Drosophila melanogaster: one gene and its partners. The protein of the gene in region 3 purifies or fractionates together with the protein of the main gene of each other region. This does not show direct contact. Each region holds a gene or a part of one and is shown on either strand. Other genes may lie near its edges.

Region 1 (9,298 bases), on a different chromosome or scaffold from region 3:
GTTTAAAGTCGGTATAGGATTCTCGCCATTCCTTGGCAGCATCTACGTTTGCTGGAGACTCATCGTTCGGATCGGCCAGCATTGATATTACAGATATCAAGATAGTCTCCACTGTATGCACGGGTAACCAGCGCTCCGATGCTTTTTCGTAGCCCCATTTATCGTCTCCAGGCTCATGTAAAATAGAAATACAGACATCTCCATTCTTCTCAATATTTGGGTGCCAAATTTCTGTAACAAACTTCATTCGAGGAGGACGCAACGGATATTCTTTAGGAAAGTAAAGATGAGCTTTAAAGAATCCTCCTTCGCTGCGATTAAAAAATAAAGAAATTATTTTATTATTATAAAATTATAAATATTAAATATAAAAAAATCGTATTTTAGTAATGGGAGTTACATACAAGTGACAAGACTTTTAGACACCCGGTTTTGGAATGGAAGTGTGAGAGAGCGGGAAAAATATAACCGAGTAATTTAAGTCGAACTTAAGCTGCTTAAATGAATAAGACTATGCGCAATCACAACATAAGGCCACCCGTATTCATAAGACGTGAGAAATATCGTTAATAAGCAGACCGAATAATAATGGACAAAAAGCATGCCTGAAAATAACCGAGACTTCACAGTCAGTCACCCTATTTCCAAATATGTTATATTTGAATACGGTTCGTTAAGTAGGATTGAATTCATATTAGCGGGCAGAAGGAAATCAGAGATGTACCTTGGTGAACAGTAGGTTATAATTAACCGATTGAAAAACATTCCTGAAGACGGTCCTGACAGGCGGCCTTGGCCAACAAAGGTGGTGAACTCATGATCGTCTTTTAGTAAGTACACGTTTAAAGGAAGGTACTTAGTTTAGCTATAAAATGATAATAGGTAATATCCGAGTTGCTTTATTTTTTATGCAGTGAAATTATAAAAGGTTCCATCCTCTATGGTCTTTTGAAATGGAAATGGAATGGACCAGCTTAAGTGCTTGGAGGGACCAGAATAACGCAGTAGTATACTCTATATTGGAGCTACGATTTTAAATGGAGTAAGCAGTTTTCACCAATTTGGTGAGCATCGATTGCTCGAAAAATCTTGTAGCATACGGAGCTGTGCAGTAAATAATTGCATTTTTCATTACTGTATTTGGAGAAATCACATTATCCAGCTGACCATGGAGGCGTATTGTAGGATTAAAGCAAAGACACTACAATAACAAGATGCGTAACGCCATACGATTTTTTGGCACACGATTTTTTCGCCGTGGCTCTAGAGGTGGCTCCAGGCTCTCTCGAATTTTTGGTAGAGAGCGAGAGAGCGGAGAGCGCTACAGCGAACAGGTCTTTTCAGCGCATAAAGTGATAGCAGACAACTGTATGTGTGCACACGTATGCTCATGCATTTTAATTTGACAAAATATGCCCTTCACCTTAGAAGTTCTTTGACTTTAAATCTATATTATTTTTGATCAATTGGCACCATTCGAAAAATTCTTGTTTTGCATTGCCTTAACGTTATTATTGTTTTTTGAAAATAGATTAGAAAAAGCCAAATCTATGTACATATTATCACAAAATAAATTTAAAAATTGACTTTATATAAGAATATTTGTCATTAGAGTATTCATCTTGCGGCGTGTGAAAAATTAATAAGGCAATGCTTGTTGATAAGATATGACCAAAGCAAAGACACTAGAATAATTCTAGTGTCTTTGATATGACTTTTGCAATAAACAGTTATCATATTCTTATGAAATTTATGAAATTACAGTAGTTATAATAATTTCTATTGTACTTCCTTTAATTATTTAGTATATTTATTAAGTCATTTAACATTAAAAGTATTTCAAAAGAAATATTTCGCATTTAAGTCACACAAGCAAGCAAATTCTATTTTTAGATTTCTTACGTTCTCAGCGTAAGCGAGCAGAAAGAGAGCAATTTTGGCCGTCACTAAAAAAGTGGCTGCATAGTGCCAAACCAATGTATGGCCGTTACGCATCTTGTTATTCTAGTGTCTTTGATTAAACATTAGCTACTGGGCATACGAGCCCCAACCACTATTAATCTGAACAGTAGGCGAATTTTTTCAATACTACTATAGCAGTTTGTTCAGCAGTTTGATCTAGTTTCAACAACAAAAATATGAGTTATTTACTCAAAAGGTAGACTTAAGAGATAAGAAAAAATAACCACTATTAATTCAAACGCTGCGTAATATAACAAATTTATTAATATTAGAATTGTATAACGTCGCCACACGTTTTGGCGTTGATTTTAAAAAGTTTTGGCAATGTCCTCGAGAAATCGAGTCTCACATCGCTTACAACTTCATTTAAAGACCGAAATGTTCCTTTGTGGCTCATTTCAAAGATCTCTTTTTATTAGCCACCAAAATTGTTTATGGGACTTAGATCTGGACTATTTGATGGCCAATCTAAAGCGTAACTTTTGTATATACAGCTGCGTTTAAAATAATAGCACTACTGCAGGTGGAAAGTTGATTTCGTAAAAAAAAATTATTAAATGTTTATTTTTTTTAAAGTCAGATTGCATGAATAATAAGTACCATATGTTGCATCTCTAAGCAAGAAATTTTTACTCTTTCAATGTAACGGTTCTTTTTTGTTTTTGGGCACTTGCTGCAAAAGTGCCCAAAATGAGGCGGTAACAAAAATAGCACTGACCACGTATTTGCTGAATAAAATTAATAGGGGTGATTACTTTGGTTTTTTTTCGACAAATTTTGAAAAACGGAGTTGCACTAAAGGTTTTAATTGAATTTTTTCCAAACGAAGACCAAAAATTCTCTAGTCATGGGTCGCGGAAAGCATTGTACCGTCGAAAAAAGAAATTTGATTAAAAACATGATCTCTGAAGGTAAAACCTACTCTGAAATTGGTCGCATTGTCGGTTGCTGAAACAAAATGATCCGCAAAGCACTGCTGTTTGTCGAAAAGAACGAAACATGGAAGAAGGAGCTTCAGATAGCTAAAAGCGTGGAAACTGTTCGCAAACGCTTAGGACAAAGCAACCTTAATGCGTGCAGCCCCAGAAAAGTCCCGCTTTTGACTGTTAAGCATGTCGCAAAGCGAATCGAATATGACAAGATTTCCAAGGACTGGCCTGTGGAGAAGTGGCACAACATTTTGTGGTCAGATGAGAGCAAAATTGTGTTGCTTGGTGGGAAAGGCTCTCGGTCTTATGTTCGGCGTCCACCGCCGTTGGTTTGGACATTTCAACAGGATAACGACCCAAAACAGACGAGCAAGAAAGCTCGAAAGAGCAGAAATCGATAAGAGTAATGAAATGGCCTGCTCAGTCACTTGAATCCAATCGAAAACCTTTGGGCGAACGTGAAAAAAAGGTTTCTGAAGTCAAACCCAATAATAACGAGGAACTTTGGGGTGTGGTCAAGGATTCAGGGAGCAAAATTCCTCAATAACGGTGCCAGGACTTGGTGGACTCCATGCCAAGACATTGGGCGGCTGTCATTGGCACCAAAGGTCACGCAACCAAATATTAAGATTCTTTAAACATAGTTCTTAAGATATAATCCATTTGTTGAATTATTTTTTCATTTTTTTGGTTAGCTTTAGCAAACTACGAGAAACAGTGCTATTTTTGTTACCGCCTAAATATGAAGGTTTTTTCGTTTTACCACTTATTTTTAAAATATCCATTAGATCTGTTACTAATTTCGTTATTTCGATTGAAAATCATTGTAGTATTTAAGTTTAGTGAGTAAAATAATGAAAAAGTGTCAGAAAATACAGAAACGATGGGACAAACACGAAATGTGCTTATGGTGCTATTATTGTTACCGCAAATGTACATCTAATATTACATGTACATACATATGATATCGAGAAGCCTTTCAGGGAATTCTTACAAAGGCATTTCAGGGAATGAATAAAGAAGCATTCCCTGAATGCCTTCATGTCGTAGTACTTCTCGAATTATGCTCGTATGCACATAAAACATTGAAATTTCATCATTGGTTTAAATGTAGTGATGGACAAACTCCTACAGAAAAAGACACGGCTGTAGAATCGAAAAATCTCGCGATCTTTACTCACCCCGAACCCAACAAAAAATTGTTGTTTGTAATAACACTTATGAACTGAAGACATTAGAATAACAAATTGCGTAACGTCATACGATTTTTTTCGCACACGACTTTTTGATGTTGTCTCTGAAGCTGGCTCCAGCTTTCTCAAATTTTTGATCTGTGATCTCAGAACTATAAGTTAAGCTTGTTTAAGATGGTTGCTACGCTTTTGTGAGTGGAAATCAATGTTTTCTGATTCTACATCTGCATGCCCAATCTCAACTCTCTTATGTCTAAACCATTATTTAAAATGAGTCTATGAGTCTTGTACATTTCTATCGATTTGAAAAAAAATGTTTGTGCCCCCACTCTTACGCACTAAAACCGCCCAAACCTGCCTCGATCACATTGTTGAAAATGTTTTGGATATTTTTCATATTTTTATAAGACTTGTAAATTTTTATCAATTTATCAAAACTTTTTGGCACGCCTAATCTAACGCCCTAAAGCCGTCAAACCGGTCACGCCCACCCTTTTGAACAACTTTATAATTTGTTTTCTCATTTTATTCCTCAATATCTATCGATATCTCAGAAAAAATTATGAAATTTCGCGTTCGCTTTCACTCTAGCTGAATAACGGGTATCTGATAGTCGGGGAACTCGATTAGAGCATTCTCTTTTGTTTTTGTTGGTGTCAATGGGACAGCCACAACAGAATTTCATTGCTTCATGTATGTCTAGTTTTCGCTTTGACGTACATTGATTGGAATAGCGTCTACAGTGATTGTTGCATAAATATGATTTTTTAAACGAAAAAGAATACAATGTTCATAGCATACTACAGTGTATCTGGCGGTCCAATTATTAAAACTTCCCAGCGAAATATATCATTCTCATCAATTAAACCAGCGGAGAATCCTTCCACTGGATTCTTGTTTAGTTCTGAAAAGATAAAAATAATTATTAATTTTTAGTAATCACGTGTAACAATCTGGTTCCGTAGGTTGTATTTTTTTAAATACGTTCGGCGAGGACCTATTTTATTTTGGATTATGACTATACCACTTAGACGTTGAAAAGAAGGATATGTCAAATTTGTTAAACTGTATATAACAGTAGAAGGTACCGTTTCTGATCGTAAAAAGTATATATGTATGTATATTCAGGATAATTTGTCATGAGCTAGAAAATTAAATTTAACATGCATATTCCTTTTGGTTTTTGCCACTGGTTTTTGCGTAATCTAATGCCCACAAGCCGTAATAAACTGTCACGCCCACCATCGAAAAATGGTTTGGTTTCCCAGTCGAAATTTAAATTATTCTATAATTCTGTAAAATTAGCATGTTTCACAAGTAAGAATTTTTCAGTTTTCTGATGGTCGACTAAAAGAATTGGACTGTCAAATTATTTGAAAACAAGAATATTATATCTATATTCTCTATATTCTATTAAAATTCTTTTGGCAAATCGATAAAAATTGACATGAAAAATGGGAAAATATATAAATGAGAACATATTTTTTAAAAAAGTTTGGCGTGGTTGGGCGATTACAGTCGACGTGCCGAAACTTCAATAGAAATTACAACCCACAATAAACTGAACAAAAAGTAAACAACAAATTTAAAGATTCGGCGATGTACAGTAAAGTTTTATGTCCAGTCTCTTACAGGTTGAATCCACTTATGGATTTAAATATACGTGTGTGCGTAATGCACGCTCTCTTAGGGTTGTTGTTTCAACTGCACATATGAATTTAAGATAATATGAAAAGTTTGAAACAGGTGAAAAAGAGTAAATCTGACTCTAAAACGTAAATATTTCTAGATCATGATCACTATTCGAGTCGATCTAGCGATATCTGTCTATCCGTCCTTATGATTGTCGAGATCTTGATGGAAAATTATAGAAAGATAAAATAAAGCATGTAGATGCTAGTGACTCCCTCTAGCGATCACAAACAAATTAACAAATTAATAATTTTTATTATAGAATAAAAACATATGTATAAACATATACATACATATGTATATAAAAAATCACATATACATACATAAATACATTTTTTAGTTAGTAGTATGAGTCAAACGAATTTAAAAAGCTCATTCCATTGTTGACATGTTCGATTAAATAACAAAGTATATGGTTTCATTTGTTTTAAAATACTGTTGCCCCTGTAGCAAAATGCTATTCGCGATTAATGGCTGAAAATAAGAAATGGGCTAAGCATTGTAAAGGTTGTAATGAACATTGTTTAACCCTACAAATAACATAAATGCTTTATTAGGTTACCTTGAACATCAATTAACCATAACTTTGTAGAGTGTTAACAAAAATATGATAATAATATATCTATCATTCGGCCAAGTCTTTAAGTGTTGTTGAATGTCTAAATCATTAGAAAACAATTTCTTTCCAAAAATTTTAATTTAAGGCAGTGAAGGGAACACTACCAAAATTTGTATATACATACACACATATGTGTAGATGTAAGCATTTATTAGAGTTAGAAAGTAATATATATTATGTGTACCTTCATACACATATATAAATTTATCTTTTCGGCATATTAAGCAAACTCCTGCTCAAATTTTATCATTAATTTGAGTACATAATAATATATACCACGAGATTTTTAAAAAGAAGGGTAGACACAAATATTTACACATATATGTATTGGCGCATATACACATTTATTATCCTATGTAAGAGTATACTATTAACTTTACAAAAAAGAACAAGAATTTATTAAAATTACCTTAAGATATAGGTAATATTTAAGCTACAAATTACATATGTGCACTCATATTACACATAATATATGTATTTGGTTGAGCATTGCCAGCTTATGGTTTTTGCACCAATTTTAAAACCACATGTGCAAGACTGGAAAAATAATTTCATATACATATGTAAAAACATTTATATATACATTCTTGCTCATTTATATACGTTTGAAGTTGTTAAACTTACCTGCCAATTGTTTTTTTAACAGTAAAGATGACTGAAGTTCAGACATTCTAAGTTGTATGATAAATGAATTGGTTCAGTTTAACGCACAAGTAATTAACACAAATAAAAATTGTATGCTTAAAAATAAGTTAGTATTGAAAGTAAATATAATGATCGACATCGACCACCGAATTTTCTATAAAGGCCAAACATAAAAAAGAACTAGTTATACAAGTTTAACACAGATCTAGCTCCTGTGAAGACGAATGTGACACAATAACACTTGTTTCCAACTACACTTATATTACATTTACACTACGTTTGACTGCTTCTGGTTGGCTAACAGGTACCGGGGATATATATATACAAATCCTATACTTACAAAAAAAATATAAGGGGCAATCCCAAAATGAAGAAAAACGGTTAATATCATCACATATTGCCAGCAGAGTTTGCCGTATGGCTGGTACTAAGCCCGGTTTAATGTATGCCAATAGACTTTGCGGTTAAATTTGTAAAAAGTTCTGTAGATATCATCCTTACCTTAACCTTTCTGTATTCTTTTGTTTATTTAAAAATATATGTTATCAAAATTTATGAGGATTAAAATTTATAAATACCAACACAAGTTCAAAATAGAATAGAATAGACAACATGCTTGCTCTTGATAACAAACCACTGTAATTGGATTGGAAATAAACAAGTTTATTGAATGAACAACATATTATTAATTTGCTTATAATTTTCTTATTTATGGTATTGAAGCTATGATTAATAACAACATAAATAAATTATTGCAGAGCTTTTGTGAGCCGATTACAGTTACAGCAGTTGCCCACATATACGATACCGACCAAAAAACATTGAAATGCAAGAATATTTTTTAACCCTATCCCTAACAAACGTATAAAATGCTTTAAAAATCGCGAAACGCATATTCAGTGTAAGAACCAATTGTTTTCCATATGAGTTTTTAAATAGATTGGCTGGGTTCCACTGTGGTTCTCGTCAATATTTTAAGTCCCACTTATTTTTCTACGCACTCTTCTATCGGTTTGCGGGCCGATATCAATTTTGATCTAAGAAACAAATTTACAGATTTCGAGTTTTGGCCAATGTCGTTGCAATATGACAGGATGAAATATTATTAAAAAATATATGCCGTAACTATAATTATTTTAACGAAGATTTTTTATACTCTATTGTTAAATTCTCCGCTCGAATATATTGCCGATTTATATCTATATTTACTTTAATTATGAATAATGTGTAAATATGTTATTAACGACAAACTTCAACAGGGGAATGTTAGCAGTTATTATTTATGTAGGCGATCTTACAGCATTAAAACTAATTTCATCATTATTTTAACTTTTTTTTTTTTTTTTTTTTTTTTTTTTACTTTGCTTTTATTTATTGAATCTTCTTGTATAAGAACTAACAATAAGTTTAAAAATCTTAACTATAACAAGTATTTTTTGAACAGTTGTATTATTTTTCCAACTGTTCTATGTTTAAACGGCCCTAATAATTTATTCGCTGGGTTGGTAGGTCCTTTCGCCGGAGACGGGAACGGCTGCTGAGCTGGATTAGACCTCGCGCTAGGTGGTTGGGGTGCGTGTGAAGCTTGCTATGGTATTTTTCCTTAAGTTCCGTGATTGCGTTGGTAACTGATGGGATATTTAAGTCTCTTTGGATGTTTTCACTCCGAACGTACCACGGTGCCCCAGTGATGGTTCTCAGAATCTTTGATTGTGCTCGCTGAATGATGTCAATATTGCTGTTGCTGGCATTGCCCCATAACTGTGAGCCATAGGTCCAGATTGGTTTCAATATAGAATTGTAGAGCAAGACCTTGTGATCTAGGCTGAGCGGAGAACCAGAGTTGATGAGCCAGTGTAAGTTGTTGGCTTTGAGTTTAAGTTGGGTTTTTTTGGCTTCAATGTGCCTGCGCCATGTGAGTCTTCTGTCTAGGTGTACTCCTAGGTACGTTACCTCGTCTGCTTTCGGGAGTGGTATGCTGTTCAACAAGAGCGGAGGACAGTCTTGTCTGTTTAGCGTAAACGTCACGTGCTTGCATTTTTGCTCGTTTACTTTTATTCGCCAGTCAGAGAGCCACTTCTCAATGTCGATGAGGTACAGTGCCAACTGTGCTGTAGCTTGGATAGGGGACCTTGAACGGCTAAGGATAGCTGTATCGTCGGCAAATGTGGATACCGTTAAGCGACTATTTGTAGGGATGTCGGCTGTATAGATGAGGTATAAGGTTGGCCCAAGAACGCTGCCTTGGGGGACTCCAG
Region 2 (5,105 bases), on a different chromosome or scaffold from region 3:
TGGGCGCCGAGGCCTTGAAACGCCACTGCGATGTGGTCGAGGTGAAGGTCACCTCTTGCGCCACCACAGCCAGCTTGCCAGTCACACCCCATCACCAGCTGAATCACCTTGCACCGCCCACGCCCATTAAGAAGCTGCAACAGCAACTGGCGCCCTTGCCCTCCGTAAACGTTTCCATGCGGGAGTTGCCCCTGTTGGCCAGGTTGTCCAACGAGCTCCTGGATCGCAGCAGTGCTGCTTTCGGCGGAGTGCGCAAGACGCTGCGTAGGCGCTCTCTGGAATAGTGAGCAACTAGGGGGCCAGAGGAGACTTCTTCAGCCAGCCCCATATCAGATTTGTTTATATTAAATGAATAATGAAAAGTAATTGTAAAACGTTGAACGCCGCATTTAAATGTGCACCACTATCGATAAGTCTCTACACCCACAGGATATAAACACCAACTATTTTCGTATAAATGTTGATTACATTCTAATCTATTGTCTCCGTATATGTTTCTCACTGTTAATACTTTAACTATGTAAATGTTTTGTGATTCGAGAGAGCTAAAAAGAAAAGGATTGAATGATATGCAAACAATAAGCAGCTTTAAGTTAATGTTAAAACCCTAAACTAATAAACCCAGGTAGACTCACTAATTTAATTCAAATGGGCACATGCACTAAGTAGTTTAGCCTAAAAATACCACGAAAATGAAACTCTGAATAAAAACAAGTGTCGAAATGTAACGAATTCAATTAGATAATTAAGCCTGAAACTCTCAAAGCTAAATGTAGTGGATTATTAAAAGGAAAATGCAATGCAGTTTTGTTCGGTGCCCGAGAGTTAAGTAAGGAAATGAACTACAAGTATTTGAAATAGAAATAATATTGAAACTTGAAATGAGAATAAAATTGAATTCTAATTCAAATTTATAGGTGTTTTACTGGCGGATTAAATGTATATTAAATTATAAGTGCTTTAGTAGTGGGACGTACCAAGATTGTTAAAAAACATCTGTTTTTTAAGTCTGGGCTTGGTGACCTTTACAGAGAACTAAACTTAAGGTTCGCTGTCAATGATGCAACTGCAGCCGAAATATTGCAAATATTATAAAATTCACCAAACAAAACACAAGCGGTTCTAAAAATTTCAAAATGATGTCATTTTCACTGCATTGAATGCCAAATCTAAGGTGGCAAAATAAATATTCTGTCCCCAAATTATGTAAGCCCGAATTGGCTGCCATCGTCGTCAGCTGACCTACCTTTTAATTGGTACCGCCTCGGCAGGTGGGTGTGCACACGCGAATTTTGGATTTGGATTCGGCAGTGTTTCGAGTACTACAAAATATATATAACGCCGGGCGCAAGCACAAATATTTCCAATTACTTTCGACCGAAACGCGTGCGGCACCAAAAATCAACAAGCTGCTTCTTCTTCTTACACAGTGATGCCAACTTTTCAGCTACATAAATGGACAACATAAAAAAAGCTAGGACTGTTAACATTTTGTATGGAACATGTGATTACCGTCTTCAAAGTATTTAAACGGCATTGTTTGAGTGATATATAGTTTTAATTATTTAATATAGTTCAATACATTTATAAGCTAAATAGCCACCACTAGTGTATAGTCGATATATTAAATCGATAACGTTGTCGCATCAAAAGGTCACACTGCTTGAGCAAAAAAACCAAAATAAAACATTTAAAATTAAGCGATTTGATAATAAAGAGACTCGCTTGCTATTAAAGTTATAAACGCTATCCGGGAATTTATTAATCTCCATTTAAATTAAATAAAGTTATATTGCTAAATCCTCGCCTCCAGAGGCACATTTAATGGCACCATCCTTACACTACGGCGAATACAACTACGATTTTCTTACTTTGGTGCATCTGATGCCCTTGGATTGCAGTTTTCTCATGATGTCCAAGGTCTCTTGATTTTTGGTTGGATTTAGCTCAGTCGTGGCATTCAATTGGGTACTTGCTCGCTTCACCTCCACACCGCATGCTCTGAGTTTGTTTAGGATTTTCTGGGTGCCATCCAATGGAGGAGTTGATTTGCTTGTTATGGTAGGAACTGGTTTCTCGGGCGTCTTGGGAGGTTCTGGTACTTCAGATATCCTTGAAGAGACTGGTATAATAAGCTTCGATGCAGGAGAAAATTTCATGGGTACCAATTGAGATGTTGACTGCGTTGTCCCGGTAGCACGAGATTGCAATGACCTTACAGGATGTACAGGAGCTGGTGGTGCCTCTGGAATCCTTTCCTTTTTCTCCGTGTCCTGCAATCGCTTCAGATCTTCCAGCACAGTGGGCACCAGAATGATGGCCTTTTTCATCTTTACTGCTGGCGGTTGAGGGGAAGTCAAGCAGGCACGGGATCTGCGCTGCTGCTGGGAGGTCAGAATGGTACGTCGGGTGGTGGGAGGGCTACGCGGACGTTTCGCAGGCACCCCTTCCGGTTCCTGAGGCTCCTTGGCGAGCGGCACTACATCCTCCTTTACTATATTTTCCTTGGAATTTGTCTTTGGTATGGTCTGCACGGTGGGCTTGGGATTGGTGTACCAGCGTGGATCCTCCAGCTCTGCCTCCCAATCGATGGCCGTGTTGGTGTTCTTCTTAACCGCCTCCAGGTCGTAGATGTGAATCTGCAAGAAGTGAGTTCAATCAAAAGGATTCTCAGGAAGTTTTCAGGGCAACGCCGGATCATGGAGCTCCCTTAGCTGCCTACCTCCTGTCTGCCATTCACCAGTCTCGTTTCCCGATTGGCATCATCAAATGCCAGCGGTTCGATCGGCGTTACTATGTATTTTACTCCGGGGCAATCGGCTAGGTGGCGTTGGAACGATTGGAGCGTCATAAAGTGGCATTCGCAGCTGCGGCACAGCGTTAGAAGTCGTTTTTGGTCGTCGTATAGAACGTCGCCAAGGCGAATCGTCTTCATGGACTTTATTTTACGCGATCCATTCATTTTTTTTGTAGCCAATTCGCGCCAAGAAGAAAAATGGTATTAAAAAATTATTTCAGTTTGTTTTTGCATTCGTGCAGAGTGGCCAGACGTTGAAACGTAGTAGATGTCAACGATTTTTAGTTGGTACAAAATCTGACATAAAAATACCAAACAGTTGCTATTCATTTTGTTGCGCGCCTAAATTCAAAGCACACAAAAAACCAAATAGGAAAAACACATTACACATTAAAAAAAAAAACATTTAGATATAAGATTTGATAAGGATGACGATATATAAATGGTATAATAAAATGTTTGGAATAATTTAATATAAATATTATATAAATAATTTATGTTTATATGTAGTTTTGCTCAGATTGATAAAAAATAGATGAAAACATACTTTCACTATGTAAAATAGAACGATTTTTTTGTTTACGGTTTTTGGTCCATGAATCGAAAATTACTGGAAAGATTTTATTTGAACTGCTCCTGCTCATTTTTTGCTGCATTAATAGTAACTCTCTGCTTTCTTTTACATTGTCGAATAAGTGGACTAGCGTTTTCTTTGTTCTTTTTCCCGTGTTGGCTTTTGTTTCCTTTGATTAACGCCCATGCAATTGAAATTAAATCGCTTGCAAATGATTCGCAAGCTACCTAAAAAAAAATTGGGCAATCCAAAAAATGACATCGTTTATGCAGCCGGGGACTGCGCCATTTGTAAGCTTGCCATTTTTTCGACCAATGTGATATGGAGCCATATGGAGGGAACATTGTCTGATTTTGACTTCAACTCGAATGTCTGTCTAGTGTGTGTGGAAAACAAATGAAAAGGAAATCCAGCACTTTTTGCGTACCTACATATATATTAAATTTTTTTTTTTTGTTGTTGTAATGTTCCGCATAACGAGCACGGACCATGTCGAACCACGTGCAGCATAATCACCCGGCAGAGCGTAGGTGAGTATCGTTGGCATATTCTTGATATTTTTCAAACTGGCCCACTTTTGGTTGAATTTTCCTGCTATTCTTGCAACTTAATAAGTGAACTTTAAAGAGCCGCATCGCTTACAGCCCGGAAATTGTATGGATCTGTGGGTCGCAGCTCCAGCGGCAATTGGATGAAGTTGCCGATGCTGATGAGGCTGCTCCTGCAGTTGCTATTCCTGCATGCAATTAAGCCAGGGACGAGAGCGAGGCACAACTTGCCACTCTGTGTGTCCCAAAACTGCAAGCTGACCATGCAAATTACGTTGCCCACACTCATACTTGCACACGCTCTGCTACACACACGCATTCCTGTCGCCTCGTTTGGGGGCCTGCGGGGCTCCCCGGCATTTGAGTGATGCACCAAGTCGAGGAAGCGGAGAAGGTGGCCAGCTAGCTGGAACCCCATTGCCGCTGCCACTGCCACTACTACTACTACTACTAACTGCCACTGCCAAAGCTAAGTTAAATGGACCTGCGGTGCACTCGAGCAGCCAGGACGCAAACTACAGTGGATACCGCTTAAAGTATATAACTGTTATTATTTGTATTGTTTATTGTACTGATCCTAAATAGAAGATATTAGCTTCCCTTAAAACGCCTGACTGTGCTGTGATGCTTCTACACAAATTAGACACAATTCGAAACTAGCTTGTTGGCTGCTAACAGTTTGGATATAGCCAGGCACCACTGTACGCCGTGCATGCAGATTGAAGTGCAGACCATGTCAAGGTAGCGGCTGCAGCTTTGGCCAGTAGATTAAATTAAACGTGGCAAAGGAGACGGCGCCAGAAGAGGACGAGCTCCGTGGCTAGGTGGCTCCATGGCTCCATGGCTGCATGGCTCCGTGACTCCGAGGGCTCGCCAGCCAGCCAGCTTGCCAGGAGGAGCAACTGCAGCCATGCGATGGCAATGGCAACGGCAACGACAATGGCAACAACATTAAACGTGTTTACACCATGTCCGACCAGTTGATATGCCAACTGCCCCCCGACCTGTCCTGCACCCCACCACACACACACACACTCACTGGCACACACACACACATAGGGATGCGTAACCAGGCATGAACTGCTCTTGGACAATGAACACATGCCATGGCAGGGCATTACCACCTACCCATCTGTCCGCCCAGCCGCCCACCACCCACCACCCGTCCACTATTGTCCTGCTCTTT
Region 3 (5,286 bases):
CGCTGCTACACACCCGTATCGGGCACCAAGACGACCACCTGCGAGGACTACGCCCTGCCCTATCACGATGTGGTGCCCTCGGATCCCACGTTCGAGGACATGCACGCTGTTGTGTGCGTAAAGGGTTTCCGGCCGCCGATACCATCACGCTGGCAGGAGGATGATGTACTCGCCACCGTATCCAAGATCATGCAGGAGTGCTGGCACCCGAATCCCACCGTTCGGCTGACTGCCCTGCGCGTAAAGAAGACGCTGGGGCGACTGGAAACAGACTGTCTAATCGATGTGCCCATTAAGATTGTCTAAGCAGCTGTTTGTAGTCTCGTTTTAGGTTTAACCTAAGTTGCATTTAGTTTTCTGTTTTTGTTCAACTTCTGTTGAATACGCAGTTCCGACCTTTTGTCCGGAAATTCATAGTTAGGTTCTAATCGTAAGTTGCTTGTACGTGAGCGGAGTAAAGCAGAGGATCCTTCAGAGGTGCCTATACTACGGTTACTTAAACCGTCGCACTGATTGTAAGCTAGAGTTTAGATATAAGTTGGCAGGAGCTAGTTACTAAGGCCCCTTGCAAAATCTTTGGTTAGAAAAATGCTTTAACTATTTGAGAAATATAGGGAGTATTTTGGATGACACCTATTCATGTCGATGTACATAAATATGAGATCAAAACAAAAAATCAATCGAAAGAATCGAAATTTATATGTAACATACATTAATTTTTGTGCCAGCTTTTGTACGCTTTAACTAAACGAGTTAAGTCGCCCATTCTTTGACCCCCGAGGCTTTAGCCTCAACATAGAACATGTCCTTATATGTTTTGTTTGTATCTAGTGTTTAAGTGTAAACTTTGCAGACTTTGTGCAAGTAAATGCTGCCTTTTGTAAAATCCACGGAATTAGTTGCCTTAAGACAAAGTGTAAAGACAGGAGCCAACAGACAGGAGCCCGACTCCCTTCCTCCCCTTTTAGTAGCACATATTTTTGTATTTATAACCAGAGATATATAGAACTGGCAGTTGCGTATCTCGAGAAGTGCACTTGTGTCGGCTCTTTTGTTTTGTGTAAATAGCAAAGATGTTTATAGGCCGCTAACCATACATATATATAGTATATATATTATATATTATCGTTATAAGCGATTCTGTAAATACTATATATGTATCTTTATCTGTAACCGTTTAACTTATATCTTATCGTTCTTATCATGTAACCTTGTTTAAGCTAGAGTTAGATGACTAGCCTGTAAGAGCAACAAGTAAACTATATGAACTAGATGGATATGTATCTTTCAGTTTTTTTTCTGTTTCATTATTACTGCTCGCAGACCACAAGAACTAAAGTTTTGTATTAAAGCGGTTAGTTAATTTATTTAAAAATAATAAAAAATTATAATTAAACCCAAAAGCTCGATTTTCTGTTGGTTTTATCAGCGTTCGTGGTTTTTCTACTCGCCCGCCATCATCTCCATGAATTCTGTGATCGAAAATGGCAATTAGTCAGCATCACATATTTGTTAATTACAAGGGAATACTTACCATCAAAGTCCACGGTACCGGATCCATCAGTGTCAATCTCAGCGATGATGCCGTCCAGATCGCTGGAGGAGAGCTTGTCGTCGAGGGCGGCGAGAATTTCCTTCAGCGTTGAGGTGGTGATGTAACCATTTCCCTCGCGATCGTACAGACGAAAGGCCTCTTTCAGCTCCTTCTGGATGGCCTCGGCATCCTCCTCTTCCAGGAAATGGGCAGCGATGCTGCAGAAGCCGTCGAAGTTAACCTTGCCGGTGTCCTCCGGATCGTTGTCGTCGATCAGAGCCTGCAGTTCGCTATCGTCGAACATCTGACCCATGCTGTTGAGGATCGTCTTCAGACGCAGCGTCTCAATGAAGCCCGTCTTTTGTGTGTCGAACATTTGGAATGCCTTGCGCATGATGTCCATTTTCTCGTCGTCCTCCTGCGGTTACCAAAAATTAGCCCGATCACATCATAATCGATTGCACAATATCCACCCGCCCAGAGAAATGCAAAAACAACACCCGATAGATACCATTTTGTATCTGTTGGCCAAACGACAATTTGCGAGCGAGCGAGTATTCCAATCTCCAATGCGTTCCAACTGCGTTGGCCTGCGGGCGCGCACTAAACCGATCGCCTGGCCAAGATCATTATTTATAAACAACAAATTTCGCTTAGTGGAAGCGTCACTCATACGCAGCGTTGTACACCTCGTCGGCAGAGGAGCAGCGGAGCAGAGCATCCCATCCATGGGTTATTGTTGGTTTGGCTTTTCGGCAAAACACTTTATTAACCAAGCCATTGGAATGTGAACTAGTGGAGGTGGCGGTGGGTACAGAGGTGTAGGTGAAGGTGGAGGCGGATGCGCAGACTGATTCTGGCCAGACGCTGATCTAAATCAGATCAAAGTGTTACAGGTGCACTGCCTGCCTCCTGTTGGTTGGGTTATTGGTTGGGTATTGGCTGGGGTTGGGTAAGGTGGGAGGGTACTGATGCCTTAAGGTCGGCGGCAGAACGGCGACGTCATCTCCATCATCTTTGGCGCTGGCAGCCGGAAAAACGAGCGCACAGCGCACGCCACAATTATGCAAAAGAGCAGCAGATACAACGGATACACCAGATACAGCACATACAGATACAGATACAGATACAGATACAGATATAGGTACACCCTCGCATCCATATTTCGGCGAGTTGAGATGTGTGCATGGCCTGGTCCGTCGGTCACTCAGTCAGTCACTAAAAATCGACTATAAACGTCTTCACAATCAGTCACAAAATCAGTGCGATTTTCTCACGGTAATTGTATTTTTAGTACTTTATAGCAATTTTTGTCCATATGATCATGAGTGTGGGCCAGATGCCGATGGCTGGTCCACAGCCAATTCCACAGGCTCTTTGCCGTTTGCTGACTACTTGCTGGCTACCCACTCTACCCATAGCCACTAGTGCTGCGGTTAACCACACACCCATCCGATCCTCAACCTCCATCCTCTCCACTTTGGTCTCGAAAAATGTTGATTTGGTTTTAGATTTTTGCTTTAAAACAAACAAACAGGCATTCAGGCTGGCAAATGGACATCACGCTAGATGGACAGGCCAATTGTGGGGGATGCTATGGTTCTTTGGGCATGGGTTCGGATTTGGATGCGAATTCGAATTTGGATAGTTCTGTATGAGTGGGTAACCTTCCGGCAGCGGCATTTTTTTTTTTGGCAAAGGCGCACAGTAGTGGCTTTGATGGTCATTTGAGTTTTATTATTTATGACAAAACGTGAAACACATTTGGAATGTCCCAGTGAGGTGACGGAATGGCACAATGGGAAGAGGGGTTGGGTTGGGTTGGGTTGGGTTGCTCTGGCGACCACAGTGCACTCACACAGTGGCACTTCGATTGTTTTTGCATAATTTTCAATGCCCAAAATGTGTATCTGTATAAATAGCTTGAGTTGAGTGTTGGCCACACTTGTGGCATAAGTTCTAATTCGAACGCTGACATTTTGGTGGCATGAAATTTAAGGCTAGATTTACGATGTAATTACCACTGCAAATTGTTCTGCCCAGGAGCGAAGTCAACCGCGAATTAATTAATTACTGACTTCCTATTTATTTTTAAATTGATTTTTAAAATTCTATTTCTGTTCTTTTTATAATTTAATCATATTTAACTTTTATGCAGAATTCCACTGCTATAATATTTTACTGCTCCTCCCTGGGCGCTACAGATGCACATATTTTGCAATTAGAAAAGCTTTCCGGTTACTTATTCGGTTGAACGAGACAAACTTAATTAAAAAGATTTTATGGAACCTAGAGCATATAAAGTCGGAAAATAAAAAAATCAGTAAAGGCCTCAACGGAATCGAAGAGAATGATGAATAACATCTTGGTCTTAATAGGTAATTCAGGCTGAGTTAATAATAAAGTCATAAAGTAATCGTGTTTTAGGCTTCTCGAGTGTTATGCTCGTTGCTGGCTTAGATGATATGAACTGTTTTTCCCTGCAAAACGAAATTTGTCCCAATGCCAACATTTCCTTTTGGCTATACACGTAAGATTAATGGTTTTATACTATGATTTTCATTATCTATCCGTATCTGCAGAAAAGAAAATCAGGAGGGAACTAAGCTTTCAGTTTTTGAACTTAATCGTTTTGAATTTTATCACCACAAACCGCTCAAGGTTCTGATCCATGGATTCAACGGGCACCGCGATTTCAGTCCCAATACCCAGCTACGTCCGCTGTTCCTGACACAGGATTACAATTTGATATCCTTGGATTATCCAAAACTAGCCTATGAACCCTGCTATACGGAAGCGGTGCACAATGCCAAATACGTAGCTCGCTGTACTGCTCAGTTGCTACGAGTACTCCTCGAGAGCGGATTGGTCAAAATTGAGGATCTGCACCTAATTGGCTTGGGCTTAGGTGCCCATGTCGCAGGCTTCATTGGGCAGTTTCTTCCGGAACACAAGCTGGAGCATATTACAGCCCTCGATCCGGCAAAACCATTTTACATGGTCAAGGATCCGGCTCTAAAGCTCGATCCCACTGATGCCAAGTTCGTGGACGTCGTGCACACGGATGTCACGATGCTTGGCTTACTGGATGCAGTGGGTCACGTGGACTTCTACTTGAACATGGGTGTATCACAGCCCAACTGCGGACCCATTAATAAGAGTTAGTAATATTAAGGCCATCTGCTTTACCTATATTTTTCATTTTCGTTGTTCTGACTTTAGTGGAGACTCATTTCTGCTACCATAACCGAGCAGCAGACTATTATGCCGAGTCTATTTCGTCACCTTCTGGATTCTATGGCTTCTACTGTCCCAATTTTAAAAGCTTCGCAAAGGGAATTTGCATTCCTGATAAAAATATAGAGCTGATGGGTTTTCACGTGGATCCGAAGTAAGTGCCAGCACCTATTTTTCCAGATCTCTTTTTATCTATTTAATTGCAGAGCCAGAGGCAGGTATTTTCTGGATACCAATAATGGTCCTCCTTATGCCAAGGGAGAGAACTTTACCTCAATAAGCCGCCAACTAAAAGGTCGAACTTTCGTGAACGATGATATTATAGATAAATTGATTGGAACGTAGTAAGGGATGCTATCCAAATCTTAAAACGAATATTTTTAATTCATAAATAAACATTGAATAATGTACCACATAGAGGATTATATATCTCTATTTTCGTGTAAAAATTTTTGCCATTTCAAAATCATATTTCGGCCTGGTCTAAATATTCAGGTGAAATACTTTCGACACTC

What was found.
Region 1: the proteins of TpnC25D (region 3) and CG40045 purify together in Drosophila melanogaster (affinity purification with mass spectrometry, with the first as the bait; one large-scale study listed by BioGRID). This does not show direct contact.
Region 2: the proteins of TpnC25D (region 3) and CG10265 purify together in Drosophila melanogaster (affinity purification with mass spectrometry, with the first as the bait; one large-scale study listed by BioGRID). This does not show direct contact.

Annotation. Positions count from the first base shown.
Region 1 is NT_037436.4:24,026,445-24,035,742, reverse strand, and holds the start of CG40045 (uncharacterized protein), read right to left. Parts: upstream 7,229-9,298; 5' UTR 7,066-7,228; coding exon 7,020-7,065; intron 6,933-7,019; exon of another isoform or gene 6,805-6,932; intron 4,989-6,804; coding exon 4,886-4,988; intron 866-4,885; exon of another isoform or gene 766-865; coding exon of another isoform or gene 725-765; intron 312-724; coding exon 1-311.
Region 2 is NT_033778.4:14,990,790-14,995,894, forward strand, and holds CG10265 (uncharacterized protein), read right to left. Parts: upstream 3,047-5,105; 5' UTR 2,963-3,046; coding exon 2,723-2,962; intron 2,640-2,722; coding exon 1,857-2,639; 3' UTR 1,734-1,856; downstream 1-1,733. Other genes in the region: pcs (parcas), read left to right, coding at 1-284.
Region 3 is NT_033779.5:5,215,113-5,220,398, reverse strand, and holds TpnC25D (troponin C at 25D), read right to left. Parts: upstream 2,608-5,286; 5' UTR 2,049-2,607; coding exon 2,046-2,048; intron 1,953-2,045; coding exon 1,535-1,952; intron 1,473-1,534; coding exon 1,444-1,472; 3' UTR 1,346-1,443; downstream 1-1,345. Other genes in the region: tkv (thickveins), read left to right, coding at 1-306; CG14034 (uncharacterized protein), read left to right, coding at 3,885-3,912, 3,962-4,064, 4,117-4,694, 4,757-4,925, 4,978-5,116.